4 linked regions of the Drosophila melanogaster genome follow. The protein of the gene in region 1 interacts with the protein of each later gene in a pairwise test. Each region holds a gene or a part of one and is shown on either strand. Other genes may lie near its edges. The genes, in order: caup, l(3)neo38, CG7991 and CG4766.

What was found.
Region 2: the proteins of caup (region 1) and l(3)neo38 interact in a two-hybrid assay, tested with the Drosophila melanogaster proteins (one large-scale study listed by BioGRID).
Region 3: the proteins of caup (region 1) and CG7991 interact in a two-hybrid assay, tested with the Drosophila melanogaster proteins (one large-scale study listed by BioGRID).
Region 4: the proteins of caup (region 1) and CG4766 interact in a two-hybrid assay, tested with the Drosophila melanogaster proteins (one large-scale study listed by BioGRID).

Annotation. Positions count from the first base shown.
Region 1 is NT_037436.4:12,607,828-12,613,283, reverse strand, and holds the start of caup (caupolican), read right to left. Parts: upstream 3,654-5,456; 5' UTR 2,516-3,653; coding exon 2,465-2,515; intron 1-2,464. UniProt on the Drosophila melanogaster protein: Controls proneural and vein forming genes. Positive transcriptional controller of ac-sc (achaete-scute). May act as an activator that interacts with the transcriptional complex assembled on the ac and sc promoters and participates in transcription initiation.
Region 2 is NT_033777.3:11,775,692-11,781,194, forward strand, and holds the start of l(3)neo38 (lethal (3) neo38), read right to left. Parts: upstream 3,438-5,503; 5' UTR 3,291-3,437; exon of another isoform or gene 3,167-3,290; intron 2,931-3,166; 5' UTR 1,988-2,930; coding exon 1,783-1,987; intron 1-1,782.
Region 3 is NT_037436.4:1,672,373-1,678,213, forward strand, and holds the start of CG7991 (uncharacterized protein), read left to right. Parts: upstream 1-2,336; 5' UTR 2,337-2,749; coding exon 2,750-2,795; intron 2,796-5,841. Other genes in the region: CG13930 (uncharacterized protein), read right to left, coding at 1-88, 151-333.
Region 4 is NC_004354.4:5,996,300-6,002,683, reverse strand, and holds CG4766 (uncharacterized protein), read left to right. Parts: upstream 1-1,886; 5' UTR 1,887-2,487; coding exon 2,488-2,690; intron 2,691-3,183; coding exon 3,184-3,737; intron 3,738-3,861; coding exon 3,862-4,211; 3' UTR 4,212-5,176; downstream 5,177-6,384.

The sequences.
Region 1 (5,456 bases):
AGTATGAAAAGTCTAACAATTCTCACTTTCTAGTTTCTAGATACATTTAACAACTGCTATTTTACTGAATAAATTAAGATAAAATCAATTGAATTTATTTAAATATCTATATAGAACTTGTAGAAACATTACTTAAACAAAAACCTTCCTGAATAAGAATTTTTAAAATGAATTAAATTTATGTAGAATTTATGTTTGTTATCTAAATAAAAGGTATGGATATAAGTTTTATGGTAGTGAACAGCTAAGTTTACCGATTTATGCTTCTATTTCGCTTCTATGTCATTAAAATAAATTTGAGAATAAGCCCCTACCAATTGCCCACATTTTTTCTCGCCGTGCATTGAATGGCCAAAGGGACTGGCTCCAAAGTGCGTTTTTGCTAATGCGAATAAGTTGCTCGGTTTTTTGTGGGGCTTGCTTATTGAATTAAGTTGGGGCGCAGAATACTATGGTTCGCAGTGGAACAACTCTTTCGCAACTCAACTGCGGTCTCAATGTTTGCATTAAAAATTCATAAATCAATTATGGAATGCACACTGCGAAATATTAGTTTTTTCTCGCATCATTTACGGGCTTGTCCTTTTGCGTCCCAATGGAGATGGAGATGGGGAATTTGGGGGGGCTTCAGATGGAGCCTATGTGAATCCAGGACTCGACATCGTCGCGCACTTTTTGCTGCCTTAGAATTTTAGTTATTTTGCCATGAAATGCGTGAACAGCTCGCATGGGAAGTTAAGAATTCGATGTGCGATGTGCCTGCAAGTTCTTTTGCTACTGCCAACTGTCAGCCGTTGATTAAATTTATATATTGTCGTTTTTTTTTATATTTGGAATGCCGTCTTGGCGTCGAAATTAAAATTAAATTAATGAGAACCCGAGTGTGTGCACTGCATAAATTTGGCACCCGAATGCCATATCAACTGACCAGTCTTTCATTGGTGGCTTAGTCGCATTTAGTGGCTTTTAGTGGCTTTAGTAGACGTATGCAAATGAGCCGAAAACGATGACAAAATTCTGTTGGCTCTTAATCGATTGCAAGGCAAAAGGCTTTTTGCACATCTCCAGCCATAATTATAGTCGATAATCTGAACGTTCATTATTTTAATTATTGTAATTTACCAAGTTTGCATATTATAATAAATGGTGCACCACTCCGCCGGCGGCTTCATTAGCATAAATTTATGCCAGCCACCGTGGTCAGGAATATTGTATACATACACACATATATACATATGTATATATATAAATGTACATAAATTGGCAGCAGGATAAACGCACTAGCATTGACGCATTTGACCACATAGTAGTCGTTGAACATGGCTTACACAGGCATTGCAAGGGCTTTGTAGCTGCAAGTGTTTCACTTCCCCCCGTTTGGGCCAACTAATTTGAATTACTGAGCTCCGAATACCGGGTAATTATGACCAGACCTCGGACGATGCACTGCCACCGGAATGCCCCACCAGACCCCCCCCTTCGGTTACCAGCGATTTGCATCCAAGGCGGTGACGGCTGTCCTAAATTGTGAAACATTTCTTGGCGGCGGGGCGGCCATTATGGCTATATCCGCATATATATATATATATCTATATATATATGTATGTATATATATAGGGATCCAGGAGCCCCAACCGGTGCCAAAGTGCTTGAATATTCATGTGCAGTGGCTGCTCCCCAAACCCGCCGGCTTAATATGTAAATTTAAAGTTATTTCGCACCGTCCATTATTAAAGATTTCCCTTTTCGCACATGCCAAAATATTCAACTGACTCAGTTTCTGGTTTTATGAAACATCTTTTGTGTGTGTGCCAAATATTATTTTAGTCCGCACTAAATAAATAGTATATTCAAGTGTCTCTTGAAATGATTAAGTTATGGCTGCATATTGAAATGGCACAGCTGTAAATCAAAATATAATAAATACATATAACGAAATTAATAAATTTAATTTCATGGCCAATATAAATTGTTATGACTAAGCCATCTGTTTTAAATTTAAATTTAAGGCACCCAGTAGCAATAATTCAGAAATTTGCTCTTTCAACTGGTTTTTCGCATTCTACTCAATTTAAATCAATGTATTTATAAATCTTCAGATTCTATTCACAATAATTATTGTAAGCAAAGTGCTCTTTATAATATGGTATTTATGGCCTTCAGTTTGAACACAAATTATGAGATTACAAAAAAAAATTTGGATAAGGTTTTTAATTGATTTGGAATTTGTTACTTTTAAAATTGAATATATTATTGACAAAATCTAAAGGGAGCAACATTTTCAAAGCAAATATAAATGTATATATAAGATACAATATTGGATCCATACTAAAAGATTCCTTAAAATTGTTGTCTGTGCTAAATAACCGTTTAAAACTTAAGTTAAGTTTGCTTACTAATCAATACAGACTTAAAAAAAACGGTTAACTGTTAATCTCTAAACAAACCACCGGCATAAACCCACCTGATTTGCCGTCGGGTAGCCAGCGTATCCAAACTGCGCATATGCAGCCATTGTCTCGCTGGCTGAGTTGGCCTAAAGAGCGGCGACACGCGAGTTCACTGTGCCGGGGCTTCACTGTGGGGCGTCCCTCGTTGTTTGCTTGTTGTTTTCTTATTTTTTTTTGCGATTGCGGATGCGGATGCTGGCGGAGCCCTCGAAAAAGGGGTGGCCAAGGATGTGGGGATGGTGTTGGGTGCTTAAGGGAGGTTCAAGTGGGTGGCCAGTGGGTGGTTGGGTTGGGTGGCTGGGCGGATTTGGCGTGCGTGCTCGACGGCTAAGCACTCTGGGCGCTTTTGTTGTTTGCTGGCTTGTTGGGTGTTGTGCTATTGTTGTTGTTGCTGCTGCTGGCTGGCCTTGTTGAAAATTGATAAAACAAATTGTCGATGTCGAGCAGTTCTGTTAATGTCGCCGGAGCCGGAAAATGTTTTGTTTGTTTTGTGTGACTTTGCTGTTTTATTTCGCTCGTCCGTTTTCATCCGTTTTAACTTGATTTTTATTGACTCTGTTTGACTCTTTGGCGGCCGGTTACCAAAATGGTTAAAAAAAGACACACACAGACGACAGCCGGGCAAAGCAAATTGGATTCAAGTGTTTGCCGCAAACAGATTTACAAATGTACGCGGCTCTTCAGTCTTCGGTCAAAAGAATGTGTCAGTTTGGTTTGCGAGTTTACCCACTGATTGGTATTTCAGTTTTTTCCACACTGTATCGAAATTTTTTAAAGTCAGCTTAGGAAACTTTTTGATATGTGATCCATAATAATAAACATAGTTTCGAATTTATGGCGAGTTTCTTTTGATATTTAACGAGACATTTCTAGAGAGGTTTGCCTGTCTTTTCGGGTCCCTTTTTTTCGTATTTACTTTTATCATAACTATTGCACGCACTTCATTATCTACGTCGGTTGCATCTGCCGATCCGATCCGCTGGCAATGCTCCAGTAAAAACGGGTTCCGTTCCAACCTGTCAGCGGTATCTCCACGGTGACGACGGCAGTGACTGCGACTCAATAACCGACTGTGACTTATCCGGTGACTGTAACTCGTTCGTCGGTACTTTCGTTTCGGCCTTTTTTCGAGTTTACTGGGCGACGCGGCGGAGATGCCAAGATGCGAAGATGCGCACCTATTCGCGTTTCGGAACAAACTGTTTTTCGGCCGCTCAGCGAGCAGCGCGGTTGCGTGTGACAGAGATGGCAGCAGCGATGTAAACGGGATGGCTGCAGGGCCGCGAGAGAGCCAGCCAGTTAGGAGCTCTCCCATTGGCCAGCGTTCCAATCAGACTGGCAGCCACGAGCAGCAGCCTTCTCGCTTGCACGTCTGTGAGTGGTCTGGTAACGAGTGAGAAGGGTAGACTCTCTGGGGCTGTTGTTGCTTTGTTCGTTGAGAACGCCCACCTCCAAGCACTGGAAAGTAAGTCGACGCTCTCTTTCTGCCGACCCCTCTCTGTCGACGTTGGAAGCGATTTCATGGCGGACCACGATCGAAAGGCTTCCCAATTGGATATTGTAGCCAAAGTTGGCTAAGAATTTTCCGATTTTGATAAAAAAGTACAATACAGAAATAATTGGAAAAACTAGAAAAGAGTTGCTGAAGATTTGCTATCATAATAACTGGTCAAAATACGTCTGGGCATACATTCGTGGGAAGAATTGGAACATTTTTCTACAATCTCAAAAAATCAAACATTAATTTAATTAATTAAATATAATGTTTAAGAAAATTTGCAGGCATATAAAGATATGTTTTTCAAGACGAGTGGGTATACAATCTCTTTAATATTGAGTAGTTTAGTGTTTTATTTGATCCGCTTCCAATTATTCTTTGAAATTTTAAAAGAGAATTTTCAATATTAAAATAACAAAAACATAAAACCTTTTTTATAAGCCCAGCTGAAATAAATATAATCTATGTCACATCAAACTACAAAAAATAACATACAGCAAACAAATATAAGCATGTTTTTATATTTTAATAAACATATTTGCTTTTCTATCTTGGCTCCCAATAAACAAAAAGTTTGATATTTTAATGTGCATTTAAATTTTGGGTGGTGTAAGGACTTGGAAAATCTAAAAAGTAATCAAATTAAATTATTTTAGAAGGTCTGCAAGTATATAAAGCCAAAATCTAATTTTATTTAAGAAAACTAATCCGTACGTTATTGGTAACATCAACAACATTTAATCATTACAGTGTGTGTGTGTTTTTTTAAAAATAGCTTGATATATGCATTGTACATTTCCCATAAAAGTGCTTAATGCTCCAATATCTCAAGGCCAAATCACGAAAATCGCAGCTAATTGGGACTAGCTAATCGTAACAAGATACCGAAATAGGAGAAAAAACAAACAAACAATCCGATTCCATTCGATCCAAGGAAGGGGGCGTGGCCGGTCCATTTGAGGGTCCTCGAGTCGAGTGCGTTCTAATTAATGGTATGTGGAGCGGGCGGGGTGGGGAGGGGAACTGAACGTTTTTGGGGAATTTTTGTAAAATGAGTATTTTGATGTTTTGGGGTGTTAACGCGCTGCCATTTATTATAAATGCGAGTGCATCTCAAAGTCAAAAGAGACGCACATGTGGCACTTTTTTCGGTACTTACAAACGAACGCATATGTAAATGTGTGTGTAGCAATGTGTCATTTGCATAGGAAAATGAAAATGCACCGGGTATTTTTGGGAAAAGTGTCCGAATGCCCAAACTCCTGATCGGTACTCAATTTCTGGACGCTCTTGGCGGCGCCACGAAATTCTACACCCACTTCATGAGTCTGGGGATCTGGAATACGAAAGGATTCACATGAAAGAAATGCATTTGAGAATAAAGAATTCATCCATGAAATTTAAAATGTATGCTTTTAAAAATTGAATTTCTAAAGAGCCAAATTGTGATTGGTTTAAAAGTTGCAAATAGTTATTCTTCAATTGAAAACAACATAAATGCAATCCAA
Region 2 (5,503 bases), on another chromosome or scaffold:
GGAGTTTGAGTTTGGGTTTGGGCTTGGGTCCTGCACTTTCCAATAAATGCAAGTGGAAAATATCTGTGCTGTTGCCAGGGCAAAAATAAATTATGAAACGCCATCTGGGGGATGGGGGTTGCCTGGGAATCTAATTATGCAAGCAAATGCAGCTAATTAGAATTGATAAGAAGAAGGACCCTTTGGTTAGGGGCTAGTATAGGGGTTATGTATTCTATATATCGGGAATGGAAGCGACCGACCGCCAGACCGTCCAACCGGTCACACCCTTCCACTAAAACAAAAAAAGTTGCAAGTTGGCAGGAAGTCAGTGCAATTAAAAAGGCAAAGGCAGGCTCTCGTGGGTTGGGGGTTGTAACTCACACTCAAACACACACACACTCACTCACATACTCTCGCCCAACACACATACGTATATGCATTTAATTGTATTTCTATGTATGTGCTTAAGTAGCTGAAGAGAGCGGTGAAACCCACCCCTACAAAAAAACAAAGTGAAATGCAGCAAATTCAAAAGTTATTTGAGTTCATTGCATTTTCAAGCCACGCAAAACAACAACAGCCATAGCTTACACTCACACACACACAGGTTACACCCACTTGGGGGTGGGTGGTAATGACTCAAAACATAGAGCGGAATATTCGTATAAAAAGAGCGCAAAACAAAAACAACGACGAAAAAATCGTTAAATTCTGCTTTGATGACAGGGTATACTCGTACTCGTACTAAGTCGCTCCAACCCGCCAACCAACCCCCAAAAAATTGTAGTGCGGTTTACAAATTGCCTGAAGAAGATGTCTTTGCTAGCCAGAAAGCGAGAATTTCGTAGATGGGGGTGGAAAACCCGCTTACACTCACACATGTCTTTATGCGAATGTCAGTAAGTAGATCCAGATGGAAGCCACCTTTCGCTGGGAATTCAAGGAAAGTATTGTTCGAGTTTCAAGTGGGACTTTTTTTTTAGCTGAGTATTGGAAACGAAATTTTAACTAAGCTTCAGAGAATTGAAACTATTGAGAATTATTCATAGGATTGTCATAAGGTCCTACGATTTGTTTGAAGCAAAGTATGCTAAACAGAAGGTCAAATCAAACTTTATGTTGAGATCAATAAACCTCTTTGTTCGTGAACTCCAGAATATTATTGTAAAATAATACAGCTATAAGCAATTTGTATTAATTTCATTTAAATATTTTTGCTTACTCTACTTGCTTTTTCCTGCCGTCATGAATACTAAAATATGAACCAATTGGACAATCAAGAGGTGTTATTCACCGAAATTAGAGGTTGTATATTTTTTACGTTTTACTATTCTCATTTATGATGATCTTAATCATAAGTTATTGCAAGAAGTACCCGTTAGTTTTTGATGACTATCAGCAGCCCGTTTAGTTTATTTTTGAAAAAGAAGGCTATCCAGAAGTTGCCATTCCAACAAGAGTAGTGCCCTTTGCCCCAAAACAAGACCCTCTGTGTGTAGGGCATTAGGCGAGGCAGTAGCCGACCCCCTCTGCCACTGCCTCTGTCAACGACTCTGTCTCCCCACCACCACCGCCACTGTCGCTGCTCGAGTGAGAGTGTATACCCCCTGACGCTTTGACGCCGGCGTCGCTGCCCGCAGCGGGCGAAAATAAATCGATAAAAATAAAATAAATTTTTAGTGATTATGTTATACAGACACATGTGCCTGCATGTGCATTGCAGGCGATTGTCTGTCCGTATGTGTAGCCACATTGTAAATGTTGTATAGTATAGTGTAGTGGTGGGGCAGATGCACTTACCGTTGGGCACATTCTGATTAAAGTGATTGCCATTGGTCTGATATCGCTGCACATGGTTATCGGTGCCGGCCGCTGCCGCTGCGGCTGCTGCATTCGCGGCAGCCGCGGGGGGCGTGCCGAAGGCGCCCGGCGTCTGGGCGTCGAATTTAGCGGCAAATTGGTGGATGCCGGAGAAGGGGCCGCCGAACGCGGAGAAGTTCATCATGTCAGGATCGGGATGATCGGCGGGGTAATGGATAGTAGTTCTAGGGCCTCGAGGGGCCCTTTTGGTTTAAGCAAGACAATCTTTCGAATCGCTTTAGCACTAAAACTCGATCGGTCGCTAATATTACTTGCAATTCTATTTCTTTTCTTTTTTGTAATTATTTTCTGCACAACGCGAAACGATGACGAAGTGTTGTAGTGGGTGGTGGCGGTAATGGTAATGATGGTGGTGGTGCGCTGGTTGTGTGCCTTCTGTTGTTGTTTTCCTGTTCTCCGCCGTCGCTGGTGGGGGTTGGTTTTCTTTTCTTTGCCTCCTTTCCCCTGGTCGCACTCATACACTAGCACTCACACAGAGGCACATAGACACACGTACGCGCTTACGAGCGCACAGTTTTATGCTGTGCTTTGCTTTTTCGGGGGTAGAAAAGCAGAAAAGCGGGCCCAAACACAACACGTACACACACACACACACTAGCTCGCACACGCGGAGAACCACTTTCGGTTTCGATTTTGATTCTCGATTCCGCTGGATTCTGATTCCGATTCTGCTTCTGCTTCGCCTCAGCTCGAACTAAGCACGCACACACAACCGGCGGAACGGAGCGGAATCGCACTAAAGTCTCGCTTACGATTTCGCTTACGACCGGCTCGTCGAGGCTCCGACATCAAACTAAAAGTAACATTACAACGAGGCGAAAGAAAGCGGAAACACTGGGCCAGGCAAAGCGACGCGGACGCGGACGGCGGCAGCGCTGCGACGCAAATGACAGTGACAGTGCCCAGAGGCACGCTGGGTATATCGGTTGGGAGGTATTCGCACCCCTTTTCCTCGCTTATGGTTTAGATGGTTTTTAGTTTTTATATTTCGTTAGAGGGCTAATGGCACTCGTTTTCATCCAATCTCTCATGGTTACCTTTATCGGTAGTTTAGATGGGTATTTTACCTATAAGTTGATCGTTTAATTAGTTTTTCAAATTATTTAATACATATAATAAATAGAATGTTTTTAAATCAACCGATTGCTAATGATAATTTTACACCCCTTTTAGCGCTCCTCTTGTTAAATATATTTTTTTTAATTATTCCCAAGATCATGTTAAGCATTGGCAATGACCCCCCGCATTTACTGGGTAGCAACTATTCGTCTACCAACCAATTGCACGACTGCAGCATTCTTACATGTCTGTATTAGTTCGCTGTGTGTTTGTACGACTGTCTGTATGTTTGTGCGCTGTGTGCCGCTTTGAGGGTGGAAGTTTTTCTACTTCTCTGGAAAATGCGCGTTTATTTGAACGTTCCTTACATTTCGCTGCACCGAGTGTCGGGCATATGACACTGGTCCCAGGCCCCTGCTCCCGAAATTGGCTTGGTCACTTGGCCAGATTGCTGGGCAGAATATTCATGCGCGATCCGTGCAGGCGAAGTGCAATTTATGCTGGGACTGAAGCCGATACCGAGCTGATCCGAACCTCATAGCCAGACACGCAGTGAGACGAGCCACGAAATTCGCTGTAAGTTATCAGGATGAAAACCGGTTGGGAGCGAAGCATAAAAACTGGTTTCCAGCGAGAGATGAGCTACTTTTTGTGACCGCCGTCGAGGCAACAACAAATGTATTGACAACGTCGACCAGGATGACTTTTTGAATATCTGGATTTGGTTTAGGCACAGCAGAAAGGGCCATTAAGATTGCATTTATGTATTTTAATGGTAGGGAATAAATTTATTTGCATAACAAAATTCTGGATCTTGATCACTTTGGATGCCCTAAACTACTAAAACTACTATTGTAGTTCTTTGGAGGGTAAAAGGATAACCTGCTTTTAATATATTTCCTGATAATGGCTACCTTGTTGAAGAACATTTTTTAAAAATATTACATTATATCTGGGTTTGAATATAGCCTTTAGGACTCGAAACAATCATAATGAAATTTCTTATTAACTTGCAAAAAGGGTACTCATAGATCGACGTAGAGTGTCCACAAGAAAAACGCACATACAATGCGCCTTGTATTTTTATTTGGTTTTCCAACTTTTTGGGGTTGTGTGGTATGGCTGTGCACTTATACGTTTACATGTGAATATGTCAGTTTGTAGCGGCGTATGTACGATGTGTTTTCAAGTATCTATGTTTGGCTATATGCTTGTGTGCATGTATCTGGATCTGTTTGCCCACGGACATGTGTAGACGAAGGGAAAGGAGAGGCCGAGAGAGCAGAGCGTTCTCGAGCGCATTGCTCTCGTTGCATTCAATTCTGCCTCTGCTGTATGTTGTATTAATGAAAGTGAGTCCAGCGGCGAAAGAAAGCAGGCCGTGGAACTAAGACAAGTTCTTTTTTTGATTCCGCTTCTGCCTCTGTTCTCCTGCCTTCTTGCAAGTGTTTTCATGTTTTCCAAACCCACATCTAGGGGTTCGAGATCGGTAAAATAACTCCCCCTAGGAGTTTCGACCCATTTTCAATTAGTGATCCCTCTTCATTATGAATTTTGATGACAGATAAATACTTGTATGTACATACATATATATGTACATACATATATACCCCCATTTACATAAGCTTAATTAACGGAAATATTTCTATAACCTAGAGATATAATAATATGCGTATGACTTCTTTTTTTAATAAATTTAAGCAATCTCTATTTATAATATTAACATTATTAAGTAACAAAATAAATGCGCAGGAGACCGGCAAGTCGATTCGACTGCACCTTAATTTTTATGTGTTAATTCACATATACACGTGCACTTGCATAAGCGCCTGTGTGTGCATGTCTGTATGTCTTTTCTCATTCTTGTTTTTTCCTGTTGCAGTCTTGTCTTCTACTCGTTTAATACAGAGGGTTGGAGTTTTTTACGTTCTCTCACATTCTCCTTGTTTCGTCTCTCACTCACTTGCTCGTTCTCTCGTCTTCTCTCTTTCTGCCGCGCTTGAATCTTTGAATGCAATGCTTTGTTTAGCTTGATTTTCGAGCAATTGCAACTGTTACATGTGTTATCTAGAGTTTATATGCACATTTTCCAATTATTAATTACTGCCGATCGACGGAAGATACAAATATTCTGAGTATCGAATAATAGTTAGAAAACTCGATCACCGGCACTATCAAATATTTTGATACTCTCACACTCATGGGTACAGAATGTACCTGCAGATACTTCGATATACCGATGTACATATACATATGTATGTACATAGTTGTGCACATGTACACAATGTATGTTGATGTTAGGTTATTTGTATGTAACTTGTTTCCTTATTCAGCATCCTCTCCAGACCCCCACTCCATCTCCCCCACACTCATTCGGAATATAGGGTCCCACACAGCATAAACCCGACTTAGAGCCCAGAAAACCCTTTCCTCTGTAAACCCTTTCACCACTTGCAATTATTGAAAATGTCAAGGACCATCAGCGAGCTCAGAATAAATAAAAATTCGTTTTGTAATGGCGTTTATTGGTTTTATTAATTATCATGAGCTTTTAGTGGGCTGAAAGGCTTACAGCGAAATG
Region 3 (5,841 bases), about 11 Mb from region 1:
GGGCGGAGGAAGCAGGCTCCTTCAGATAATTCGGTTCCTCCAGAGTGGGCGACATGGGCGTGTCCAGCTGCAGCTTGTAAAGATTGATCTGGCGAATAAACATACTGTATGGCTTGATTTCTTTGGACATTAAGGATGATAGGCACTCACCCCCAAGGCAATGTCATCCAAGGAAGCTCTCATCACGCACTTCGTTCGGTACTCCGGCGTACGGAGCTTATGGAGTTGCTGCTGCTCCGCTCCGGGCTCCTTCATCAGCGGATGGTCCCTAATCATCCTGCTCAGTTGCTCGAAGTCCGCGGTGCGGTAATCCTTCCTCAAAGGTCGCGACATCCTTCTCAATTAATTTGAATGAGCGCGTGCCGCCGATTTCCCAACTTGTTTACTGCGTGTGCAGACATGGCAACGCAACAATGGTGGATACAATATATGGGTGCCATAACTACCAAGTGCTGTAGTTGCACTCCGATTGCAACACGGAATTCCATTAGCAGGCTCACACATGACTGCACTCATTGCGTCCATAAATATTTATAACTCACATTTAAATCGCGCAACAAAAGTGCATAATAAGTGGGTTGGTAAGCAAAAACGTATATTTAAATATGAATGTAGTTCCAGTTGTGCAATGAAGATGAAGCCACCATAGTCTAACATCAATTTGGATCATTACCTTTAGTGATTCCAATAATTTGCGCGGCTTTCTGACCTGTCACAAGAAAAATCCCCCAACCGGAGAAAAGCAAAACAAACTATAAACTACAAAATACAAACTACAAACTACCAACAAATGAAATTCGTATTCATATTCCAATTAGACAGTAGAAGAATAGCAGACGGAAAATAGTTAGATGGTATATGGTAAAAAGGTCTTTAATTCCGCCACATAGCCGCATAGGAAATGGGCAAAAGATGGGATGAGGAGGAGCACTTGGCCATGTGGGCGATTGAGAGCAGCAAGCCGTGCAGCACACTGAACGAAAATAAGATCGGGTTAAGAATGAAATATGATTAGGTTAAGTGCTCACAGCAAAGAAATGTATCTACAGAGAAATTATTTCAACATGAATCCCAAACTATAAATATGACAATCTTAATTTGAAGATAGCTTGTAATAATCAAAGCGATTTTCCGTGTATAGAAGATATGGAAGTCGAAAAGAAGTTGTTTATGTTAATTTGGCTTTATGCTTCGCTACGCTGATTCGCTTGATGAACATATAGCAAAAAAGAGGGCTGATTATGAGGACGACGACGACGACGACGACGATGACGATGATGATGAGGGGGCCCAAACCGAGCGAATATGGCCAAGTGCACTATGTCAAACGGAGGGGCACACGGCAAGCGGGCAACTGATGGCCAAGAAGAACAAACCATCAAACCGTCAACGCATCAAAGCGTTAAGTAATAAATGTGCAGGCAGCCAGCGAAAAGAAAGAGTTAAGAGCAAAAAAAAAAAAACAAATCCAAGCGGGCTATAAACAATAGTCGCCTGTCTTGCAGGTTGCGTGCATTTTGAACTCTGCACGAGCCAACGATCGTTGTTGTTGGCCGATTTGGCCAGACTCTTGTTGTTGCTGTTACACATTTTGGGGGCAGCAACAACCACCTACAGTCAGCGAAATTCAGTGAACCGCCACCAACGCGACGCCAACTGCGACGCCGGCGGCGACTGCGCAGTCAGCGCCACACTGAATTACATCTTTGAGGTGTTGAAAAATATTAATAATATTTTAAAATTACACTTTAAGTTTAAGACTCAGTTCTGTGATAGCTTTTTAATGGACTAACCCAGCTTGTAAGCAAGCTGATACCACTGATGTAACTACCTTTTAACTCCAGCCAGTTGTTAGCCATGTTTGTCCAGTGTTTGTGAGATAATTAATAATTTTGTCGCCAGCCCGCAAGAAACGAGTCTGCGGAGTGGACCCTGTTTTGAAAAGTGAAATAAAACGCCACTTTTTACGAACATCTAATTGTGTCCGCACCCTGGAAACCCATAAAACGCGCCATCTCCATCTCGATCCAGCCCATGGGCTGGCTATTAGCCATATGTCGCTCGCATTCAGATCGTCTGGGCTTCTTACACCTGTTTTATGTCCCCACTGGCCCCAATGTGCGACGACTGCCCCTTTCGGAGCGTCGACTGCGCCGCCCGGCGTTTCGGTGTAACACATTTTCAGTTCGTTTCCATTGTGGCAGGGAGCGCGGAAGACCAGCGAGCCAGCGAGCCAGCGCGCCAGACGAGAAGAGCTGGCGGCAGAGCGAGCTCAAGTCGAGCTCGGAGGTTTTTTTTCGAGGCAGCGGAGCGACTTTTTATTCGTTAATTAACCGTCGAGCGGGCCAGAAGTCCGAGTTGCTCGGCTTAACGGAAGTGCTGAAATCGGGCGGCTAATTGAGCACACCTCGCCTCCAGTTGACACCTGAGACACCTGAGGGAAAAAACGAATTGAAACCACTCCACATAGCTCGGGTCATAACTTTCCTCGCTGGCCGGCTGCTAATGTCTCAATTTGTTGTGCGCGTTGGGCAAGTGCAGTTGCCATTCAGCCGTGGCTGTATCTGAAAGATACAATTCGGGAGAGCTCGGTTCCTGAGTGATTCGAAGTTTATGCTAATCAGCTGTGTTGCTCCGCGAGAGGGATCATTTCGCCATAGACCCACACCCGCATAGCCAGTGATCACATAACGAAATAACGAAACCAATCAGCAGACGATCTTATCAGCGCCAAAAGAGGAGGAACACAATGTTGTTTTGGAAGAGGCGTCTTCAGCGATCGAGCAGCTCTTCGAGTAAGTCCCCGTTTCTATATGGCCAAGTTTGTGGGAATGGTGGTAATGGGGGACGGGGGACGGGACCACGCCTCCAACGATTGGGCAACAAGAAATATGATTTCGCCGGGCAGGTGAATTTCGATTTTCGGTCCAGTGACAAGCTCGAATATTTTGGCCTCGACTCATCTGCATAATTTGCATCTTAAGCATTATTTCTGGCTGTGCCCAGCGACTGGTTTATTGATTTTATTTCAGTGCTTCCCTGGCCAAGATCGTAAATTCACCCCGCTGGGCTTCATCACCCACAAAAGACTTGGACAAATACAAATGGGAGCGCGAGCCACGCGGGACATGAATAATAGCTCATATCTGGCCATCGAAATTCTCGCCGAGGTGTTCCCTTTGTGGATGACGATTGCCCAGAGATTTATGAATGGATTTAATGTGTTTAGCATAATTATGCAGATCGCCGTGTAGAAGATAATATCTCACTAGGTTTGGTTTCAAGCGTAAACACTTGGGATGGAAGTGGAAAGATTTGACACATTCACGATCAGTCGGATAAAGATTTGATGGTCTTAAGGGGCTTGGGAAGAATGGGTTTACTAACCAATATGATTATAGTGTGGTCAACACATTGTACCCTAATCCCCCACTTGAATCCCTCTCCTTCCTTTGAAAACCCATGGCCCGCAGTCAGGTGTCATAACAGATTTGTCCCGATGGCCAACAAGGTGGCCAACTGCTATCGAGCATCGCATTGAAAACTGTCCCTTTTCCCCACATTCCTGTGGTTACTCTTCGTCTTCTCCCATCCCATCCCATCTGCTCCATAACTTTCCAACCAAGTGCCGACTATGTGTCTCATTCGCTGTATCTCAGTTCTGAGCTCTCGGGGTTTATTTGGGATCAAAAACATGACTTTGACTTGTGGTAATGTGATGTTAATGACAATCATCAGCAGCGACACAAGCAATAACAACGCAGGCAGAACGAGGAGGAGCAGGAGTAGGAGTAGGTGACATCCACACCACCGCCACATGAAAGCAGTAGTCCCAGTAGTGGGTAGCCCCGCCTCCTGAGCCGCGGAGCACGCCTAACACGATTCCGGAGATCGGACATCTCTGCCAGCGACATTTATTTTATGTGCGTTCCGTTCCCGAAAGTCGTGGCCCATAATCGGCTTACCCAGAGTTCTTGGCTCTACCATACCGCAGTTGACACTTCTGGCTATTTGGTTCGCTTAGTTCGTGCCCGGAGTCTTCTGTTTTTATAGAAGCTGCCCATCAAGTTGCAGGTTTAATGGTCGCTTGTGGCCCAGTGCCGCATCGAAAAATGAGTTCGGCGTTTTGTTGTGACATTTTAATGGCCTGACCGAGCTCCATTCCCCACCGCCGAGATGGTTATCAATATTACAAAATAGTTTTCGGCTTTCGGTGGAAGCGTGCTGGATGGGATTGGAATGGTAAACAGTGTCTGGAGAATTATCTGAAACCTAAGACGATGAGCAAGGTGGAACAATTTAAATTACCATAAATCAAAACCCACAGATATACTGTGTAAGAAGTGTAGAAACATAAGTTCCAATTGAGAGTTTCTCACCGAGTTTAGTCGAGCTCTATTTGGGGCACTCCATTTGCAAGTGGCTTAATTCCCATAAATTCCGTTTGTAGATCTTTCACTTGACCGGACTGCGTCCCCCTTTGAGACCCACTTAGCCCACATCTTTGGGTCAGTCCTACACTTTCCGCGCATTCCACGAGCTCGGACCTCGAAAATTGTCTGCAAATTGCTCATAAATTACATGAAAACCGTCGCAATGCCAAAAGCTGCACCTACACCATCATTATCAGCTTGTAAATAAAAAGACTTTATCAATCGTTAAGCCGCGGGCGCAGACTCGCCATCCGGAGCCCGCGTCCGGGATCCAAGATCTCACCTCATAACATAACATAAAAGTCGTCCGGGTGGAAGGAGATGAGATGAAGATGGAGCGAAGGTGGATGCCCATTCCCATTCCCAATCCCATTCCCATCCTCATTCCAGGGCAAAACCCTGGCTCCGCTGCGGTCAAGTACAAATATTTTTATTTATGATTTTACAGATCAGCATATTGCTCAATAATTTCACCGCACCGGCAACAAAATAACTTTCAAATTACGCCTGCCGAGGATCCTCGCTTAAGTGCGCCAATTTTGAGATTATTATTGCCGGCTGCGTATGCAGATAATCGTGACCCAAAGTGCAGGAGGATGGGGTGCCCATAACTCAGCCGGTTCAGCTGGGAATCGGGAATGAGCTGGAATGATCCTCGACCAGCAAGGACTAGTGGATTGAAGCTGGTCAGCCACCGATTTAATTACTCTATTTGGCTAGTTTTTTGGGGTCGAATTTAGGTTGTCTGCGCTAGTTGGGATCTGGATTTGGATCTGGATGTGGAGTATTTGGGGCAGCTTAATATTTTCCCATAAATTACTCGGGGCCAGGAGAAAATTACTTTAAAATTTATGGCCCCGGCATCTTACACGCTGATTTGGCCCTTTTATTTTCGGCTGGCCGTTTGGTTTCTTTCTCTGGCCATCGAGCATCGAGCACTGGCTGCGAGGATCTGGGAACAGGTCGTGGCGGCGATGCCCCCACCGCAGTGATATCCGCGTTCCGAGGGGGCGGTCCCCTGGAAAGTTCGCACGATTGATGATCGACTGCGAGTCGCAGTTGCCGAGCTCCAGATTCACTGGGCTCCCTGGGCTGCGATGATGACGCCGTCCTGTCACCGCACTGACATCGCTGTTTATGTAATTACCGCCGGCCGCGCAGCGATCACAAAGCTATCCCGATATCCCAGTACCAATCCCAATCCCAGTGTATCCGATATGATCGCGATCGCACACACAGCTTTTGGGCTCAGCCCAGCTCAGCTCAGCTCAACTTTGGCTTTAGCTTCGCTTCGGACGCAGCTTGTAATTATTTTCTACTTAATCTTCATCACATGTGAAACATGTCGAAAAGTTAAGCGCTCGGCATGAGGCGTTGCCTCCACTCCTCGCTCCACTGCCCAGCGTCG
Region 4 (6,384 bases), on another chromosome or scaffold:
TTGCACATAAATTATATTCAAATTTCTTTGAGATCTAAGAGATATATAAAATACGGGAAAAACACACACATGCCACATGAAGTCACATGAATGGTCGGCGACCCCGAGACCCACGATCCTGGGTCTGAAAACCGAAAAACTGGAAAAAAAAATAAAAAAACTGTGTAGTTCTCCTTGTTGTGGCCTTTTTTTTAGTTTCCTCTGTTTGTTGAAATTTATGCAGATATGCGCGCATCTAGATAGGAGTTCCAGTGCCACCTCCATCTATCTGGTTACGTGGAAATCCAGCGCGCCAAAAATCAGCCAAATGCCATGGAGTGGTGAGGAGCACCTGGCATCGTCGTTCTCTCTAAAATGGTATCCCATCCAATCGTATCCCATTCATTGGGGCTCCATTAAAATTCGGCTGACAGCAACGATTCACGGCCCCAACAAATTGGAATGGGCTGAATACTATTTAGATATGGCTAGATCTGCTCAAACTGCCACTGATTGATGTCAATAAAGCCGAACAAAAGACCTAACAGCCAACAAAAGATACAGTGGGCCTTCGTTAAGTGGCCAAAATTAGTTTAAAGGGCCATCTAATTGATCATATTCGATATATAGTTTTTTTTAAGTATTTCGCTGTATATATTTCCTAACTTATACGTTTTTTAAAACTTTTAGTTCACTGCATCTCTTTCCATATATGTATGTATCTTAAACATTTTGTATCCATACCTTGCAGATACGTCTTTAGATACTTCCGTCACCATGGGATGCTTGACCCCTTTTTTCCGCTTCCTTCTGCGAAAATTCTGCTGGTCGTCGGCAATTGTGTTCGGTTTGTGTTTTGCCTCCACTCGAATTAGTGGCTGCGTTTGGGATTTGTCTAATTGGAGGAGGCGACGGGCGCTTTGATCTTGCCACATGTCCATCAAGTACACTACATATATGTATGTATACACGATGTACATATTATTATATGGTATATAAGACGTACGGAGAGGGGGAAAGGCGGTAACCGAGAACGGAGGAAGTTGCTCGCTTGGAACTGAGAGCGCTGTCAGAAATTGCCAACTGGCACATTAATCCACGCGACATATTTATGAGTGTAAATGTATCTGTGTATCCGCGAGATGCGAGATATAAAGATATCGGCCGGCAAACGTGGGACATGGACGAGGGTTGCTCGTTGCTCGCTGCTCTTTGCTAAATGAGTGCACATTTCAGATAAATTATTGCACACAACTTGTACGCGATGGCAGGCCGAAATGTATTTAACAAATTAAATTTACACACAGATACACACACCGCGGCTCGCAAGACTTCAAAGAGGGCGCCGCAGCGTAACGGCCGCCAAATGGGGCGTGGCCTCGACGGGCCAATGGCAACGCGCCGCTCTCACAGATACACAAGCAGGCAACCCCATAGATACACCCATACGCATGCAGGCCAGAGAGACAGACAGAGAGCGTATTTGTTTTTAGTACACGCAGAAAAATGAAGTTCTGTTTGTGTTTTTTATTTTAATGTTAACTAGTAATTTTAGTCAGAACCTTAAGTAGGGAATTATATTAAATCAAATAACCGAACTATTTCTTCTTTGAAAAATATAACATTTGTGATAAGAAGAAGTGGCTCTTTGCTACAACAACTAAGAAAGAGTTACTATTAGAATTGTATCTATAACGTTTAAAGTGCCTAGATTTTTGTCAAAGTGCATCTGGCAGATACGACAGATACGCGGGGCCTGTGGCGAGTATCTCATCGATTTTTTAAGCGTCGGAATGCGTGGCACGAGACAGAGACCCCTGTCACGTGACAGCACCGACATGTATCTGTATCTTTGTGTGTGCAGCTGTGTGTATCTGAGCCTGTGAGTCCCATTCATGCCACTGCCACCGAGATGGCGGATTTGTTAGATACTGGCATGGATATTGAGATACTTCGCTGCAGCCGGGCCAAACTGCACTTTCAGCGCTTTTTTTTTTATCTGCCCGAAGCTGTAAATATCCGCGAGATTTACAACGCCAGCCAGCCGCGACTTCGGTATCGGTATCAGTATCGTTTGGCTGACTTCGATTCGTACTCGGAATCGGCATCGGCATCGGCAGCGGCATCAGGCTGGGGGTATCGCTATTGAGCGCAGCGCATCATTCGGTCAGCAATTCGCCAATGCAGATACTGTATCTGCGGGCAGCAGCTACTAAAATTGAAGAGCCAAAAGCTAAAATACCCATATACATACTCGGTACACCGCGGTCATCGTCGTCGTCGTGCTCCACTTGTGCCCATTGTTGGTTCTGCTGTCACCGTAACTCACAATTGAATTGTTCCTTTGTTCTGTCCCGTCCAGAAGGAGACCCGCTGCCGAATTTCGCATAATTGGCTGGCTTTTAAGTTGGCCGCCAGACCAAGTGTCGCCGGTAAAAAGATACATCTACAGATAGATCGTTGTACTTTTGGTACTTTTGGAGCTTGGTGGAACTCGAACTGAGTACCATGCTGGTGCCGCCGGACATGATGGCCGCCCAGACGCGCATGGTCTATCAGATGAATCGATTCTGCACGGAGAGGGTTCAGGCCAGGATGTACAAGACGGCCACCGCCATCCGGGAGATCTGCAAGATCGTCCAGGACATCCTCAAAGAGGTGGAACTGCAGGAGCCGCGATTCATCTCCAGCCTCGTCGAGTGCAATGGCAGGTAAACTTTTTCAGTATCTTTTCATTAGTATCTCAGTATCTTTTCTTTAGTTTCTTAATAACCATATATTAATAACTATATTACCTAATGTTAAGCCGATGCATAAGTTAGCTAATAAAAACGAGAGCTGCTCATCCGATCAGAGATGTCTAGTGTTCCCAACCACAGAGCCATCAACAAGATATCTGGGTAATTCCAGTGCCCTGATGACTGTCATCGCGGCTACTTCTCACTCCAGTAGTTCCACACCATTGCAATCAAATCCGATCCTCTTCACTCCATTGCGATCATTACAACCAAAGTGCAGAGTCATTGTCAGTTAACTGACAAGTCATGCTCATCGAGGTCTCGCCACCAGAAACGGAGTAGCAGTCGCCCCCTATTATACTCATTTCAACACGATAAACTATCAGATTAATATATAGATTTAAAAATATATATATAGTATTGTAAGTAAGCGGTTTCATCGAAATAGTTAACATCACTTTTACAGATTCGAGGGCGTTGAAGTGATATCCCCGAATGAATTCGAGATAGTGCTGTATCTGAATCAAATGGGTGTCTTCAATTTCGTGGACGATGGCACCTTGCCGGGATGTGCTGTTCTGAAGCTGAGCGATGGAAGGAAGCGGTCCATGTCCCTGTGGGTGGAGTTCATAACGGCCAGTGGTTATTTGTCCTCCCGGAAGATCCGTGCCCGTTTCCAGACTCTGGTGGCCCAGGCGTGCGATAAAAGTGTCTACCGCGACATGGTCAAAATGGTGGGCGACACCAGCGAGGTGAAGTTGCGCATTCGGGAGCGATTCGTGGTCCAGATTACGCCGGCATTTAAGTGCTCAGGCATCTGGCCAAGATCGGCGGCCCACTGGCCGGTACCACATCTCCCGTGGCCACATCCCAACATCGTGGCGGAGGTCAAGACCGAGGGCTTCGATCTTCTGTCCAAGGAGAGCGTCATCATGCAGAACAAGAACAACAATGCCGCCAGCATGGAGGGCGATGCCTGGGTGCTCAGCTTCTTCGAGGCCGAAAACCGTCTGCTGCAAGGTAAACATCTTATGGATACACCTTTACACTTACAGAAAAGATCACACAATTTACTAGCAACTTTTAGTATAGTTTGGGAATTTGAAATCTGGTGTATTTAAATCTCATATTGAATTCCTTTCAGGTGGCTGTCGTCGACGTTGTCTGAGCATGCTGAAGACCCTGAGGGACAGGCATCTGGATTTACCAGGCAATCCCATCAGTGCGTATCACCTGAAGAACCTGCTGCTCTACGAGTGCGAGAAGCATCCGCGGGACTTTGAGTGGGACGAGGGCTGCATCGCTGACCGCATCAATGGGATATTCCTGCAGCTGATATCCTGTCTGCAGTATCGCCGTTGTCCCCACTACTTCCTTCCCGCACTGGACATGTTCAAGGGTAAATCCCCCAGTGCTTTGGAGCAGGCGGCCAAGCAGGTGTGGCGCTTGACCCGCGAGCTCCTCACAAATGCCAACGCCTTTGAGAAGTTGTAAGGTGTCAGAGGTTAAAGGTCACGACTGGTCGATAATGGCGATGACATTTTTGGCAGGAATTTATAATTATTAACCGCACTCATAGAGTGAATATTGTTCTTATTTTTTTACCCGTTAGATTAGATTCTTTTGCTCCATTCACATATTGTTGATTTGACTAACTTCTTCTTGCAGTCACGCAAATATCGACCCATCCGAAGTCGGGGGAGTGCTGATGTGTATGAGGTGCCAGGCAAGTCGGAGATGAAAGGTACATATGCGAATAAATACATACGCATAAGCACAGCTCCTTGGCGGCCATTTTGTGCCATGTCTGTGTATATGTGACTGTCTGCGTGCGTGCGCGTGTGTGTGTGTGTGTGTGCGAAAGTGTTAATGCGAAGATGCGAGATAAGTCCACTCCCCATTCGACTCGACTCGACTCGACTCAACTCGACTCGATGCGATTCGAGATATATATCTGCCCATCCAAGCGATCCGGCTAAGCCTCGAATATTGTTTTTAATAACTCGCCCCTCGACGCTCACGACACATCCTTTGTTTGGCCGGCGAACAATGGACTCGCCGGTTCGCAAGTCCGGATGGAAAAATCGAAAAATCGAGAGAATGAAAAAAGAGCATTTGTCCAGGCGGCTCCTTTTACACGGTGGCTATACACACTCGACGTATACGATTGTTTCACAGTTCGCAGATCCTAGATCAAAGCAAAACGAACATACAAAAAATATATAATATATACATATAGCGCTAGAACAGAGGGAGATACAGATTCCATTGATCGTTCCAAGTCCAACTTAACATTGTTTTACTACTTACATATACATATACACATATTTATGTATGTCGATGTCTATTATGCGATGCCTAACATTTACCACGATTATCCGCAGTTTGTTTTAAGTACAACATAATCCTAGATTGCTAATGTAAAAAATGCTTGAATAAATTCAAGGATAGCCAAAGGCAACACTCCAGGTATTGTTTTCCTATCAATAGGGATTGTATTTTAAATCACTTGATTGCTTAGCAAATACTTACACAACACTTGCTGAAAGAACATGGAGAGTTAAAAAATGGATGTTCTTAACTGATATTCATATATTTAAATGAGGCTGACAAACGGAAGATGTACCACAAAAAAAGGACAAATCTGGAAAGGATGTGCTGGGATCTCATTAGTTCGATCGGCGGTTGAGTTAATGTTATGATTATTGGCAGTGGCGAATATTTATTTGCAAACGACGACATATCTGGATCTGGATGTGGATCGGAATCGTCTTGGGATCTGAGGCTGGGAAGATGCAGCTGCTGCAGCGACAACTGAGCATCACTTTTATTACCCTTATTTATGGTTATTTTCTGGCGGGGGCTGGATCCACGAAAACCGAGTGGTTTGCCTGCTTTGTTCTGCGGTTCTTTTGTCCCTTCGCTTTACTTTATTATTTTTCGTTTTTTTTTTTCTTTCTTTCTTTTTTTTTGGATTTTTTGCGGAACGAAAACTTTCAGCGAATGTAATCGATATTTTCCTCGATGGACGCGTCGACAAAAGGTGTCTCTAAACGGAGAGCACGGGATATAATCAGCGTCAGCACAAAGAGCCAGTTGGTCGGAGCGATTCGAGTCCAAGGATATGCCAAGGATATAATAATGCGTGGGCCAAAATAACAAATTATGCCAAGGCACGCAGGGATCATGTTACGCAGCCCTCCATCACCAGCAGTAACCCCTGTGCCACTAACCCTCGACTGGGTGGCTTTGGCTGTGGCTCTAGCTTTGGCTGTGGTCCTGTTCTTGGTCCTGGGAAAAGCATCATCAGGTGACCGAATCGGTATCCGAGTCCGCAGGCGAATCCTCCGCAGGATGCGCACTTGGCCGCCAGCGGGAGGACACGTGACTGCCTGTTTTCCTTAATTTTCATTCACTTTGTGGGTGGAGATGCGACCAGAACCATGTGCCAGTTGCTTCGCATCGATAAGGCACGATTCCCATTGCCCCGTTGACAAATGGTATTCGAGAGGCCATTTAATGGGGGCCAACAGTTAGAGCTCAGTTCGAAGTACCAGGAACCATGACGCAGCACCTGCCCATTCACATGGCCAAGTCCCAAAATCATCCTGATCCCGGGCAGCCTTCTCATTTGATCGGCTGTCACAACTTTGGCGAAGCCACAACA